Saccharomyces cerevisiae S288C: one gene and its partners. The protein of the gene in region 1 interacts with the protein of each later gene in a biochemical or structural test. Each region holds a gene or a part of one and is shown on either strand. Other genes may lie near its edges.

Evidence for each region.
Region 2: the proteins of VAM3 (region 1) and VTI1 form a complex in vitro, tested with the Saccharomyces cerevisiae proteins (6 studies listed by BioGRID).
Region 3: the proteins of VAM3 (region 1) and SEC17 form a complex in vitro, tested with the Saccharomyces cerevisiae proteins (3 studies listed by BioGRID).

What each region holds. Positions count from the first base shown.
Region 1 is NC_001147.6:517,316-525,763, forward strand, and holds VAM3 (SNAP receptor VAM3), read left to right. Parts: upstream 1-1,805; coding exon 1,806-2,657; downstream 2,658-8,448. Other genes in the region: PIN2 (Pin2p), read left to right, coding at 327-1,175; YOR105W (uncharacterized protein), read left to right, coding at 880-1,206; GTPase-activating protein RGS2, read left to right, coding at 4,038-4,967; 2-isopropylmalate synthase LEU9, read left to right, coding at 5,712-7,526; phosphatidylinositol-3-/phosphoinositide 5-phosphatase INP53, read left to right, coding at 7,963-8,448. UniProt on the Saccharomyces cerevisiae protein: Required for vacuolar assembly. Provides the t-SNARE function in a late step of the vacuolar assembly. Required for homotypic vacuole membrane fusion, autophagy and fusion of biosynthetic transport vesicles with the vacuole.
Region 2 is NC_001145.3:658,045-661,445, forward strand, and holds VTI1 (v-SNARE protein VTI1), read right to left. Parts: upstream 1,155-3,401; coding exon 501-1,154; downstream 1-500. Other genes in the region: YMR196W (uncharacterized protein), read left to right, coding at 1-298; CIK1 (Cik1p), read left to right, coding at 1,701-3,401. UniProt on the Saccharomyces cerevisiae protein: t-SNARE found in various SNARE complexes involved in multiple transport pathways. The composition of the t-SNARE complexes is specific for a limited number of v-SNAREs and therefore allows only the vesicles carrying the matching v-SNARE to fuse.
Region 3 is NC_001134.8:122,747-126,619, forward strand, and holds SEC17 (alpha-soluble NSF attachment protein SEC17), read left to right. Parts: upstream 1-2,378; coding exon 2,379-2,408; intron 2,409-2,524; coding exon 2,525-3,373; downstream 3,374-3,873. Other genes in the region: PIN4 (Pin4p), read right to left, coding at 7-2,013. UniProt on the Saccharomyces cerevisiae protein: SNARE complex protein that binds to cis-SNARE complexes on membranes and is required for vesicular transport between the endoplasmic reticulum and the Golgi apparatus and for homotypic vacuole fusion.

The DNA of each region.
Region 1 (8,448 bases):
TTTTATGCTTATTTTTCGTTGTAGGAAAATGCCTCTTCTCTTATAACCAAATGGGGAAAAATATAAATGATGCATCTCGAAAAAGCTTCAAGATCTACTGGAACCGCAACTTCTACTCTAGAACTGGATAAAAGCCTAGAAGAACTTCAAAATTAAAGGGGCGCAAGAAAGTTTCAAATATATTACATATTTGCTACTTAGATCAAGAATAACCACCCCCGGTCGTGACTTTTTAGATTTTTTTTATCTTGTTTATTTTTAGCAAAATAACCGTTTCAAGAAAATACTAGAAATATAATCAAAGACTCCCAAGCGTATACACAGTAATGAACGTTTGCAAGTTGAAAGAAATAGTACCACTATTTCCGAGATCGTCCTTTACAGATGGTGTAGTAAGTACAGGAAAAAGTTTCCGAAGCTGGGACACCTGCATGGACAATAAAGCATGTAAAATTATTGCGATTGTTGGTATTGTTTTGGCCTGTATTCTTGTGATTTGGTTGATTGGGGGCTTACTGACATGTTTCAGGCAAGGGGTAACAGGAATAGGTCAGTTCATTTGTTGGTGTTGTCGTTGTTCTAATGACAGAAATGGAAACAATACAATGCCGGTAAATGAGGGTTTTAGTAGAGTTAATATGGGCGTGGCTCCTCCTTCTACTGTGATTTATCAGCCTATTCAACAACCTGAAAGTGCGTATTATAGAAACGATGCGAAGAATGATACATTTTACGACGAAGTCAAAACTCCCAGTAATGAGGTGTATGAATTAGAGGAAGATTTCGATTTGGAAAAACAAAAAGAGAAAACAAGGAAAAAACAACAGAAGGAAAGAAATAAAGAAGGACGCAGCCCTAGTAGGGTGGCCCCTCTAGTGTATGAAGAAGAAAATTTCGAAGGTAGCAGCCCTCAGCCGCAATATGATGCTAGAAATTCGTTTATCCAAAATGCGGCCAATACTGGTAGCAACAACGCTCATGTTGCTTCACAATCTCCAATTTTTGACATCAGCGATTATGGCGAGAACTATTATTACGATAATAATAACATCAATAATAACCTCCAGGGAAACAGTTACAATACTCCCTCCTCTAATCATAGAAGTCCATATCCAACCGAAAATTATCAATCATATCAGGGATATAAACCAAACCAAAGCGATAGATATTACTAATGAGGTAAATATATATTCCCCCTTCTTTTGAATAATCAGTCAGACATTTTAAGATCAAGAGGATTCATTGGTAGATTTTGCAAGAACCAATTAGGAATTTCTTCAGGAATAACTGTGAGCTTGCGTTTACGGAAAGGAAAGTAAAAAAAAATCTTCCAACGAGTTTTTCCTTGTACCGGTTGCTAAAAAGGTGCCTTCTAACAGGTAACACCAGAAACCGCAACTTTTAAAATGCAAATAAGGGCAGTCAATGGTGAACTTCCTCTTGGTCAGTTAGTATGTACAATAAATTAGGTTGTTTTCCTCAGGATAAAAGTGATCTATTTGTAACATATAGTTTACCTAGGTGCTGACGAGGACACAGGAAGAGCAAAACTAAGATCATACAAGTCAATACTTATTATAATCAAATGATAATATTCGTTCAGCCTCATATTCGAGTTTCACATCACAACTTTTTTTTTCGCGAGATGCGCAGTAAAAACTCTATATACATTTTTGTAGTGAATTTTGATTTTGATGTAAAGAAAGCAGCCAGGAGATTAAAGGAAGGAAAATAGAACAATAAAAAACCACGGGATCAGCATTAACAAATTGGCCAACTAATATCCACTGCAGAAAGTTGAGATTATGTCCTTTTTCGACATCGAAGCACAATCTTCAAAGGGTAACTCCCAGCAAGAACCACAATTCTCAACAAATCAAAAAACGAAGGAATTAAGCAATTTAATTGAGACATTCGCTGAACAATCCCGCGTGCTGGAAAAGGAATGCACCAAAATTGGTTCCAAACGGGACTCCAAAGAACTAAGATACAAAATTGAAACAGAGTTAATACCGAACTGCACCAGTGTAAGGGATAAAATTGAGAGCAACATCCTCATTCACCAAAATGGAAAGTTGTCTGCTGATTTCAAGAACCTGAAAACGAAGTATCAATCCCTACAACAATCATACAATCAAAGGAAGAGTCTGTTCCCTCTAAAAACGCCTATTTCACCAGGAACATCTAAGGAAAGAAAAGACATCCATCCGCGAACTGAAGCCGTGCGACAAGATCCAGAGTCTAGTTATATTTCTATAAAAGTAAACGAGCAGAGTCCTTTACTGCATAACGAAGGACAACACCAATTACAGCTGCAAGAAGAACAAGAACAACAACAGCAAGGATTGTCCCAAGAAGAACTAGATTTTCAAACAATCATTCACCAGGAAAGATCCCAACAGATAGGACGCATTCATACGGCGGTACAAGAAGTCAATGCTATTTTCCATCAGCTCGGTTCATTAGTGAAAGAACAGGGAGAACAAGTAACCACCATAGACGAGAATATCTCGCATTTACATGATAACATGCAGAATGCAAACAAACAATTAACCAGAGCAGACCAGCATCAGAGGGACCGTAACAAATGCGGTAAGGTCACCCTAATCATTATAATAGTTGTGTGCATGGTGGTATTGCTTGCTGTATTAAGTTAGTAATCTCCTTAAACGCGCATTGAGCACAGACTTTCTGGTAGACCCAATCTTATCTATTTACGAAAACAAGAGTGTATAAGAGTGTATAAGTTATTTTTTGCATTTATTCTTTTGTGGTAGGGGGGTTTCTTAGCCGCTCTTTTTGACTCAAAATTTCCTTTGATGTCTAGTGATAGTGCACTTCCCATGTGCGCAACCTGTGTTTTTTGTACTCCGTAGTTTAAATGCAAGGGCTCGATATGCCCTTTTTCCTTTTTCTACTTTGTACGATCTACACTGACCTTTTTTCAGTAGTCCGTAAATCCCCACGAATTTCTACTAGCGACTGCCAATAAAAAAAGGATTGTGCTACTGTATGTAAAAAGTAAGAACCCTGTTATTTTCCGTTAACTGTCATTTGCCTTACTGTTGCTTAACGGCCGCCAACCGTTATCAAGAAACAAAACATTGTATGCGTTGTCTTCTAAATGAACCTTGTGGGCCCTGATAAACATAAGAACGTGTCTGGCTCGGAAGTATTTATCTTATTTCAATTTTCGCTTTTGCAGAACATCCTTGCCTGTCACTAAGATAAGGACAGAGCGTGGATTAATAAAAATGGCAGAATTTCTCGGCAAAAAAAGAAATCATGCATAATTACCTCGATGTGTACGTTATTGCGGGCACGATCCTGTCGCTACGGCCTGATAGTAGCGGCTATTCTGCTGGCGAAAATTTTCAGCAGTTTGAAATCTTACTGTGGCGTCCCGGTCCAGCCGAGATGACATCTAACTAAGAAATGTCCGCTGCGGCACACCCACGCCGTTGCAGCTAAAGTCGCGCACCAAGCACAGACCTGCTGGAGAATGAGGAACAAGGTTGCGTTAAATGCTTCGGGAAGAACTGCCGAACCGAACCGCTAGAAAAGTGCGCAGGTACCCCGATCGAAGCGGCTCGGCGCTCATTTTAGCACAATCAGAAAAAGGAAATTGAAAGAAGAAAAAAAAAACATAATCATTAACAATTCTTTTCTTGAGATATACGTATATATGACGTCGTCATGTAGTATCTCTTTCGGGATACCCTTTGTAAACGTCCCTTTGTGGAGATGAAAAAAAAACTTGCTGAATAAAGATAGTTAAGGCGCTAGTAATCAAATTAATAACATATTATACCACATCACATCTATACCATTTCCGTTGCACATTGCTTGAACCAGTTGCCAAAATTGACTAAACGGATTTTTACAAAGTCAACGGTGATCACTAAAAGCAAACAACTCAAGCGACGAGGCAAGGAAAGAGAAGAAAAAAAAAATATTACATTGGCTATATAAATATCAAAACATCTTAGGTAAGGCACCTTTGATACATAAAACGAAGAAAATTCAGCACATGCCAGATGGCGAGTGTACCAAGTCTATGCGACATACTGATACCGCTAGAAAAGAATAGTCGCAGCGACGGCGATGCTGAAAGTAGCAATACAGTGCTGATTCAACTGCGAAAAGGGCATCACGAACGGATGCGTTCTCCTTACACAATACAAAAGTTTTACAAATTTCTAAAAAGAGCTCATTGTGAGGAAAATTTAGAATTTTTCGAAAAAGCTCATCAGTTCCTCCAGCTTAAGCAAAACAGGAGTATTAGCGAGGAGAAGCTCTTGGAAGTTTGGAACAAGTCGTTGTACATAAAATACATTGCCGTGGACTCCCCCAAAGAATGCAACTTTTCACAGGATACTAGGGAGATATTTGAGAAGTGCTTTGCTAACAATGAAGTACCTGCCGACGTAGACGTCCTGTGTGCCATTAGCCATGTGATGGGCCTATTAATGGACGGGTATCACCGATTTGTGAGTTCTGTTAATGAGAAAAAGTACTCCGCCACATATGCCCACAATGACTCTGCTACGGAACAAGATCTCAAAAACGAGTCTACAACTTCTTTTTCGTCATTAGGCGTGGAGGATATTTCTGAAGATAGAAATTCGTATCTTAAGAAGCCTGATATCAATGGTTTGTCAACTATCATTCAAGAAACGTCTGCAAACACGACCAATGAGTCGCAATGCAGCGATCGCACTTCTCGGCCAAGCGAGTCCTCTTCCTCACTCAACACTACCAGCTCGACCTACAAGAATACCAGCACTAGAAATCTGCAAAAACCGCAAAATACAGGAATTCTCAACTCGGGGAAAGGTTTATTGCAAAAACTTAACTTTGTTAAAAAACGGAAATCTTTCAAACAGCCTTCAGGCGTCATTTGTAGCCATTATAACAGCAATGTTCAAAACCGTTTGAAAGGACAAAACAGTCATCAACAAAGATAGCCTCTTCATCATCTGTGGAGACACAAATATCTTCATCCTCATCGCCATTACCCAATAAAGCGATCGGTAAAAATGAAAAAAGCGTTGAAAACGGCTTTAAAAAGCTAAATTTGCATGATATCAGTTAATCAAGATTAGAACTTTGATTAAGTAGAACAACGATAGAAAATCCGCTTTTCTGGCTAGTTCCCTCGTTTCATATTAATTCATTTCACACAATTTACTTCATTTCATCACGCTCATATTGTTTGTAACTTTAGTTTTTATTTAATTTTACGTACATGACACTGCATATAATTATTTCACAGGCATTTAAAATAAGAGCATTGGGCACAGTCTTCTTTTATATGTTGTCATATTCAAACACTAAACATTTATCTGTATAGTAATTAATGTTAGCTCTTCCTTCTGCATGGCGCTTGTTATATACTTCATTCGTCTATTTTGGTGCCGCGCGCCATCATGGTCCGGTAACGGTCGTAGTGAATGACTCATATTTTTCCATCTCTTTCGGCCTTGCCAAAAAATGAAAAAAAAAAAAAAAAAAAAAAAAAAAATTAAAAACGATGTCCAGAATCACAACTACAACATAGTTTTGCCTCTTACTGGCTTGATTGGAAGTTAGCTGTTAAATTTCAATAATGCCTTACTTTACTCCACGAAATCACAATCCTTGTTTTCGGCTTATAAGGGTCTTCTCCTTAGGATAATACTATCGGCACATTATCATTTAGCCGCGTAGCCATGGTAAAACATTCGTTCATAGCGCTAGCTGAGCATGCTAGTAAACTAAGAAGGTCTATCCCACCCGTCAAACTGACTTATAAAAATATGCTACGGGACCCATCGGTAAAATATAGGGCGTTTGCTCCACCAAAAATGGTCAAGAGGATTTGGCCTGACAAAACTATTCAAAAGGCTCCACGTTGGCTGTCTACTGACTTGAGGGACGGTAATCAATCTTTACCGGACCCAATGTCTGTGGCTCAAAAGAAAGAATATTTCCACAAGTTGATCAACATCGGTTTCAAAGAAATCGAAGTGTCTTTCCCCTCTGCATCTCAAACAGATTTCGACTTCACCAGGTATGCTGTAGAAAACGCTCCAGATGATGTTGGTATTCAATGTCTTGTCCAATCTAGAGAACACTTGATTAAAAGAACCGTGGAAGCATTGACTGGTGCTAAAAGGGCTACCATACATACTTACTTGGCCACAAGTGACATGTTCCGAGAAATTGTCTTCAATATGTCTAGAGAGGAAGCTATTTCTAAAGCTGTAGAAGCCACCAAACTGGTTAGGAAACTAACCAAGGATGACCCTTCCCAGCAAGCTACTCGTTGGTCCTATGAGTTTTCTCCCGAATGTTTCAGTGATACGCCAGGTGAATTTGCTGTAGAAATTTGTGAAGCTGTTAAAAAGGCTTGGGAACCTACCGAGGAAAATCCGATCATTTTCAACTTACCAGCTACTGTAGAAGTTGCCTCTCCAAATGTTTACGCTGATCAAATTGAGTACTTCTCTACCCACATTACTGAGCGTGAGAAGGTCTGTATTTCTACGCATTGTCACAATGACCGTGGTTGCGGTGTCGCCGCCACAGAATTAGGTATGCTTGCAGGCGCTGATCGTGTAGAAGGTTGTCTATTTGGTAATGGTGAACGTACAGGTAATGTTGATTTGGTTACAGTTGCCATGAATATGTATACCCAAGGTGTTTCTCCTAATTTAGATTTCTCAGATTTAACTTCAATTTCTGAAATTGTCCATCGCTGTAACAAGATTCCAATTCCCCCAAGAGCCCCATATGGCGGTGAATTGGTTGTTTCTGCCTTTTCTGGTTCTCATCAGGATGCAATTAAGAAGGGATTTGCAATCCAAAACAAGAAACAGGCTCAAGGAGAAACTCGGTGGAGAATTCCATACTTACCATTGGATCCAAAGGATATTGGACGTGATTACGAAGCCGTCATCAGAGTCAACTCTCAATCCGGTAAGGGTGGTGCTGCTTGGGTTATTATGAGATCTCTAGGATTAGATGTACCAAGACCAATGCAAGTTGATTTCTCCAATACTCTACAGAAAAATGCAGATGCCTTAGGAAGAGAGTTAAAATCCGAAGAGATTACAAAATTGTTCAAAGAAACTTACAACTACAACAACAATGAACATATATACGTCACCTTGTTGAATTACGAAGTTAAGAAATTGAACCCAGAGCGTAGAGCTTTAGTGGGCCAGGTAGAAATCAACGATAAGGTTGTCAACATCGAAGGCTACGGAAATGGTCCTATCTCTTCTTTGGTGGATGCGCTATCCAATTTACTGAATGTTAAGTTGAGCGTTCAAAACTACTCTGAACATTCCTTGGGTTCTGGTTCTGCAACCCAAGCGGCATCTTTCATAAATCTTTCCTACATAAAGGACATCAATAATCATGCTACTAGTAATATGTGGGGTGTTGGTGTCTCCGAAGACACTGGGGATGCATCTATTAAGGCGGTATTTGCTACTGTCAATAATATTATTCATTCCGGGGATGTTCTACTGGCAGAGTAATAGAAAGGAGTAGCTTATGATTACTCATGTTATATATATATGTATTTTTATTTATAAATGGCACAGAAAAGTAACTTATTTCACGTTAAAAAGACATCTTTCAGCGAAGTTTCCAAACACTTCTTCGATGTCTGTGTGGAAAGTTTCTTTCGTTTATAGTTTTATTATTTTTTTTTGCTTTTTTTCCCATGGTACCATTTCCTTTCGTGAAACATTTTACCCAGGCCCACCCACCGCATAATCTTAACTGAATCCGAATAGGGATTTTTCGAGCACTACTGCAACTGTTGAGTGAGCTAGGAGTAGTGTAATTTGAGACTTTGTGAAGGGAGAACAGTCAATATCCAATATCATATTAAGAAAGCTAGCAGTACCTTAAGAGGAAGAAAGAAAATAACTGGGGCGAAGAATATCTAGTTATCCACTCCTTCATAGAATGATTATCTTTGTTTCAGAAGAACCTGAAAGGAGGCTAGCCATTGTATCCAACTTGTATGCTCTTGTTCTTAAACCGGTTGGGAAAAAGCCATCTGATAAACCCCTTTGTGCCATTGAACTTCTTCAAAAAAATGATTTGAAAAAATATGGCTTCAAAAGACTTACATCACACGAAATTTTTGGTGTTATCGGACTCATTGAGGTTAATGGCCTGCTGTTTGTTGGTGCCATCACTGGGAAATCAAAAGTTGCACAGCCATGCCCAGGAGAGACTGTGAACAAAATTTTTGCTGTCGATTTTTTTTGTTTAAATGACAACAGTTGGGATTTTATTGAAATCGACTCCTCAGGTTATCCTGTGTTGCCGGAGACTGCTTCAACTGAATATCAAGACGCCTTGCCAAAACATCCATGCTATGAATTGAAGAAACTATTATCCAATGGATCTTTTTATTATAGTTCAGATTTTGATTTGACCTCAACC
Region 2 (3,401 bases), on another chromosome or scaffold:
CACCATTTTGGACTTAACCGAAGAAGAAAAGCGCCATCATAGGATAGGGGGCACCCATTCTGGGTTGACACCACAAAGCAGCATTTCAAGTGACAAGGCTAGACATTTGATGGAGGAAATGAATGAAGAGGAAGGTATTCACGAAACTGTGGTACCTGAAGATCGTCACAACTTTGAAACCAAGCTTATAGGCAAGCTAAAAGATAAGGTGAAAAATATGAAAGTAACTGACAAGGCTAAAGATGAGGATATAGACCCAATGGACCCAATGAGTCCGTTGAATAAGGATGTGTCTTGATTAACTGCGGTGAACCTTCAATATCTGTACGTTTGAAAAATATTTCCAACGATATACCTCTATATTTTGATCTATAGAATATTTAATTGCAGTAGTTTTTTATCAGTAAGGTAGCGTTGATATTACTAGTGAAGGTAACTCTATAGTTCCTTGACATGTTCTTTAGATTCTAGAGGTTTTTTATTGAATTTGTTTTCCCACCTTATTTAAACTTTGAGAACAAAACTAGCAAAATCAATAATATAAGGACTGCGATAATGGCATAGCTTATGAATTTATTAGCAACTAGCCTTCTAGTCATTGTTTTTAGTGTCTTTATACTTTTATCCACATATGAATCCGCTTGAAACAAGGTCTGTCTTGCATTTTCCAAAGTTTCTCTCTGTGACCTTAAATCCATCATTATTTGTGACCCTATTCCTTCAGTTTCATTTGCTATTCTACTGGCATCTTTTAGTCTATCTCCCGATTTCTGTAAGATTGCATGGTTGCTCAACAACTGTTGCCTTTGGTCATCGTCAATATTAGATGCGTTAAGATCTCCAAAAAGTCTATCACGATCGCCTGAGTCTACTAAGGATTGCAGTGGTCGTTTGATATCGCTCTGTATAGTCTTCTTCCATTCTCTTAACTTCGCCTTGTACGTAGCACGTTCTGAGGCATCGCCTATGCTGTTATTAACTTCTACATCCATCTGATCTAGCAGGTCAAACAACTCATCTTGTTGCTGTTCTACGTGCTTCAGTGTAGTATTTCTCTGTGATAACGGTTGTGAGGGGGCCTCTGCTAAGCTCGCTTTGGCTTGTTCTAAGGTTGTTTTGAAGTCAGATTCGTATGATATTAATAGGGAACTCATAGTAAGCCATGCAGCAATGTAAAGAGTGCGGTTGATTCGTTTTATACAACTTAATGTAAAGCTTTACACTTTTCCAAGAATAGTAATTGCCCTATATAGCACGACTACTCCACTCCTAACTTTCATTGAAAATTAGACAGTCATGTGATCAGTAATATCGTCCATAGTGATATTTGTTTGTTTACCATTTTTGTTCTTATTTACTCTCTAATATGATTCTAGTATATGAAAGATACCACTGTCGTAGCTCGTATCAAAATAAAACTAGTCAGTCGTTGACCATTGAGCATATCGTCCGAGAATAAGGCTTTACTGTATTATTTTTTGATATCCACACGTTATTGAGCTCATTCACTGATCGACACATTTAGGCGGCTTTTCCGTTTGGCTGAAGCAACTTTGAAACACAACTACGACATTATAATTAAGCGCCTAAATAAGTGAATTTTGTGCCATAGGGTTGGACCGTGTATATATAAGAGCTATTCACTATTTTAATATTTGTTTTGGCATTTGAAACTCGTTGACATAAGCTTTATTATTAGGATGAATAACTCCAAAATTCCTAAACTTTCCTTTCATAGTGATCCAAACAACGTCACTCGAGACTTTCCAAAGACAAAACGACAGAAGGTTCAGAAAAGAGAAATGGATATGATACTAACTCCTAATAACAACAAGCTAAATATATTGCACAGCTCTGGATCTGGTATACGGCGCTGCTACACTGATGACACCTCCGCTACGTATACTAAGAAACTAACCTTTGGGGGGGACCCCAAGATTATTGAAAGGGTTAAGAACAATGAACGTAAGGTTAGAAAAGACATAGATTCACTACTGAATGCTATTTCTGAAATTGAAAAGGAATCTGTTCGTATTCATGCCAGGGAACTACCTGCAATAACATTAGAATTAGATGCAAAAGTCAAAGCGTGCAGGGAGCTACAAAATGAGATTGATGGACTATCAACGGAGATGGACTTGAAGGATAATCAATGTGATCTTCAAAGAAAGAATGTTGAGCTATCATCAAAAAATATAGTGTCTATGCATGCAGTAAAAGTACAAGAGTTCGAAAACGATTTAGAGGAAGAGCTATCGAATGCCAAAAGGGAGTGGACGTATAAATTAATGGAAGTAGAAAATTTGAAACCTGACGAAAGGTTAACTGACGAAATGCGACAGCTTAAAACAGAATTCGAGGAGGTCAATAGGAAACTATTCATTCTACAGAATGAAAATGAGAACGAGTGTAAAAACTACAAAAAAGAATTGGACAAGAAATTCGAGATATTCAAGAAAGTTAAGAACGATGCTAGAATTGAATTAGATGGGGAGCAAGAAAGACTTTCGAAAGTTTTAAAAGACCTACAAGACACCCATGGTGAACTGAAAGAAAATATTAAGACGTGTAGAGATGAGTTTAACGATTTTGAAAAAAGGATTGGAGAGGCAGAAGTGAACTTCCATAGCATGGAACTTGCCGTTGTTCCTCTCAAAAAGAAGCTTGCTTCTACATCACAAGCATTGACGCAAGTGCAGGAGGAGAAGAAGCAAGTCGAAGGAGAAGCAAACAATTGGAAGAAGAAGTACGTTAATGAACTAGAAAAGGTTCAACAGGAATTATACACACGACAAAATCTGGCCACTTCAATTGAAGAAATCAAAGGATACACCCGATGCTTTGCGTATGCCAATGAACGACAAATGCCTGATGAATTCCATATCAACTATGTGGATCGGTGCATTTGCGAGAATAGTGGAGAAAAACGGGTACAAGTATTTGATAGAGTAGTTCTCGAAGAAATCCATAAGGATCACAAACGCTTATATAACGAATGCATTCCGTTCCTGGAAAAATACATCAGCAAGTTAATTAACTGCAGCATTATAGTGGTTTCGCAGCAACCCACAGCACCAATGAAAAAGACTTTGCTAAAACAGTTAATTGAGCAGTACGGTGAGAATTATAAGATGACATTGAACATTTTGCATCTTGACGGAAGTATTAAACACAGTGACGTTGGATTAGATAACCCAACAGAAATTAGAGATCTGTCACAAGATGAAGAATGCATGAACATTTTAACTTTAGATACCAAGTTGGGAAAAGATGAAGAGTCCCATTCAATGAATATATATATCGGTAGTATGTCCACGGTACAGCTGAATAGAGAGCTTGATGATGCTCCCTCAGTCCTTTCGCATATTCTCACTAAAACAAAGCAGTGCTTTGTCTTCAAG
Region 3 (3,873 bases), on another chromosome or scaffold:
TATATATTACCATAGATTCTTCTTGTTTTGGTTTTGTAAATCCAGTCCGCTTAAAGAACGATTCAAGCCCTGTTCCAAGCCATCATCTAGTCCAGAGTGACTCAAAGATTTATAGATCAAGTCGGCACTATTCAAATTGTGTGCGGACAACATGGACTCATCGTGATAAGACTGATATGAGAAATTAGAATGTACTGAGCCATTTGTGTGCTGTGGAAGCAGTTGGGACTGTGAGTTTGCTGAAGATGGGCCGTTAAGGTTGTACAACTGCTGGGAAGACAATGAAGCATTTTGGTATGCCACTGGTACCCGTTGTTGAGTTTGGGACTGTGCTGGTGGTTGCGCTTGGGATAGGGTTTGGCTGTTGATTGGGATTTGTGAATTTGGAGGTGAAATTTGAGAATTTCTCAGTAAGGGATTAACGGAATTGATTTGATAATGGTTGGCAGAATAACCGGATGGAATTCTTGAGGATGGTGTTAAAGTAGCTTGTTGTCTTAAAAAAGATTGTTGTTGTTGCGCAGCTGACTGAACATTTTGCTGTGTTTGTGGTTGAGGTTGTTGCGGTTGGTCTGCGGAATTGTATTGAGAACTATGGTGTATGTTCATTTTAGGTGAGGTTAGTGTTGGTTGCATGGAGAATTGTCCCTGTGAAGAAATTTTTGGTGTTGAGCTGGCGCTATTGTTATTAATGATGACATTGTTACCGTTACCGTTATTACTGTTAATAGTATTGCTGTTGGAAGAATTGTTAACGGCCTGATTGCTAATACTATTCGCTGCAGCTGCTGCATGGGCCTGTAACAAACTTGTATAAGATTGTGACCTATTCATGGAGCCGCCAGTGGAGTTTGGCTGCAAAGGATGAGCAGATGTCATTTGACCTTGTTGTTGCAAATGAGATTGTAAATTAGCATGATCCAGAATCTTTCTTCTGATAATAATAAATCTTGGATCATATACTTCTACTAGCCCTAAGTACGAGCACAAAACATTGATAATTCTCTTGTGGGAAGCGGATATACCCATGGGATAAGCCAACTCGTAATAATACTTTTCTCTATCCTTAAATAACAATAATTGGGAATAAATTTCCAAAGTGTCAGGGTCATTGAAGTCCAGTTGTTGGGGTGGGAGAGGCAAAGTGGAAGTTGATGGTAAAGGCGCATAAAATCTCTCAGTGGACATCTGGGCTTGATTATTAACGTTTGTTTGGTACAACGATGAAGAAGTATGTTGGGCAGAAAGTGAAGGTTGGTTCAGAATGATGTTACCACTATTGTTGTTATTAGAACTGTTATTGTTAATGGTATTATTCATTGGACTGTTCATCATGCTATTAGCATTAATGCCGTTCATTAGAGTCGAGAATAATTGATTGTTAGAAGTATTATTGTTTCCGCTTCCACTCATTTTAGATAAAGAATCCAAAGAAAGATTAGATGACGATCTGTGTTGTTCTTCTAATTGTCCTCTTTTCTCTCTCTTCTCCCTCTCGATTCTTTCTCTTTCAGCTTGGGGAAGCATTTTTTTATATTCCACTTTCAATTTCCTCCCGCTGATTTCCTTTCCATTCAAAGAAGTTATCACTTGAGTAGTTTCTTCAGGAGTGGTGAAATTCGCAAAGGCTAGTCCTCTGAAAATACCGTTATCAAAGTGGTAATTGAAGGCATAAGGAAGGGGAAGATCCATTTCTTCAATAATGTCTAACAATTGCTCTTTTTTAATAGCAAACGGAATGTTTTTAATAACAATAGCATTTGGGATAACATCATCGTCCAAAGCACCATTGGTGGGGGCATTATTCAAATTTGTAGAAGAAACGTTTTGTTCGGCATTTTTTGCAGAGTTCTCACCAGTTTCCGTTTGCACACCGTTTTCTTTGTCAATTGCATCTCTAGTTTCGATAGATTGCTGATTTGTTTCCTGGTCATTAGTCTCCGTATTTATATTATTATCCTGAGCATCATTGATGGCTGCAGGAGGAGCATTCTCAAAAGAACTGGTCTCCATTTCTTATTGTTGTTGAACACGCTTTCCCTAGTCTGTAGCCTGCCTCTATGAGTACTATATCACACTTCTTCTTGCGCTAATCTCCAAAGACCTGCTGGTAATCTCAGCTGAAAGGCTGCCTTTAATTGTTATTCTTTTCCAGGAAAAAATCGCAAAGTTGCAGCATCCGTGTTTCGTGACATCATTGAAGGTTACCCTAATCTATTACCTCGGATTAACTTGAATTAATAAGGACACACAGGTATAGGGAAGGTAAAGTTGAAGTAATGATAAGAAGTGGGCAGCACCGAAGCAGTTTATCTGAACTAACTTCTGTACGACTCGAGAATATAGTAAGAACACCATCATTAACCTGAAAGTTAAAAATGTCAGACCCTGTAGAGTTATTGAAAAGAGTATGTAGTAGGGAAATATATCAAAGGAACAAAATGAAAGCTATGTGATTCCGTAATTTACGAAGGCAAATTACTAACATTGAAATACGGGAATTGATATTTCCCGTTGTGTTAAGGCTGAGAAGAAGGGTGTTCCTTCATCGGGTTTCATGAAATTGTTTAGCGGTTCTGATTCATACAAGTTTGAGGAGGCTGCTGATCTTTGTGTCCAAGCAGCCACCATTTACCGTCTAAGAAAAGAGTTAAACTTGGCAGGAGACTCGTTTTTGAAAGCTGCTGACTATCAGAAAAAGGCTGGTAATGAAGACGAAGCAGGAAATACCTACGTAGAGGCTTATAAATGCTTTAAAAGCGGTGGAAACTCTGTGAACGCCGTGGATTCATTAGAAAATGCTATTCAAATTTTTACTCATAGGGGGCAGTTCCGGAGAGGTGCTAATTTCAAGTTTGAGCTTGGAGAAATTCTAGAAAATGATTTGCATGACTATGCAAAAGCTATAGATTGCTATGAGCTCGCTGGTGAGTGGTATGCCCAAGACCAGTCGGTAGCATTATCGAATAAGTGTTTTATCAAATGCGCAGATCTAAAGGCTCTTGACGGTCAATATATTGAAGCAAGTGATATATATTCGAAGTTGATCAAGAGCAGCATGGGCAATAGATTGAGCCAATGGAGTTTGAAGGATTACTTCCTAAAAAAAGGGCTTTGTCAGCTAGCTGCTACTGATGCAGTCGCTGCTGCAAGAACTTTACAAGAGGGTCAAAGTGAAGATCCGAATTTTGCGGATTCAAGGGAGTCAAATTTCTTGAAAAGTTTAATCGATGCTGTTAATGAAGGTGATAGCGAGCAGCTAAGCGAACACTGTAAGGAGTTTGACAATTTTATGAGACTAGATAAATGGAAAATTACCATTTTGAATAAAATTAAGGAGTCCATCCAGCAACAAGAAGATGATTTGTTATGAACGGCATATACTTACGCGCACATACATATATACATATATATTATAAATGTAACACTTGTTTTACCCGAAACGGCGAAGTAATTGTGTACCGCCGTGCACCTTTTCCTCGAGATAAACATATAGCGATGACTTAGAGAACAAAGTAGTATTAGTATCATATACTTCCAACGTTAATCAAGCGCAATAAACCTTTGTTCGTGTGTTTCAAAGTTATTGCAAGAGCGAAGTTGAAGCCATCTTTTCACGAGAAGTTAGCTGTGGTTCGAGTCTGTCGCACGCCGTGTAATGTAAGGATCTTCCCTTAGCTTTTCTGATCCGGAGCCCTTGAGGGATATTACGCATCGCGTATCTTCATACGATTACTGTACTTTGCTGACTTGCATTCTTGATATTGGGCTATAGTTGGCACTTCGCTCGTTTCTTTTCTTTCGTTATATAACGTAACCTTTTTTTTTTTAACTTCCTTATCCTGCCCCTTATCACTCTGAACCCCATAGATA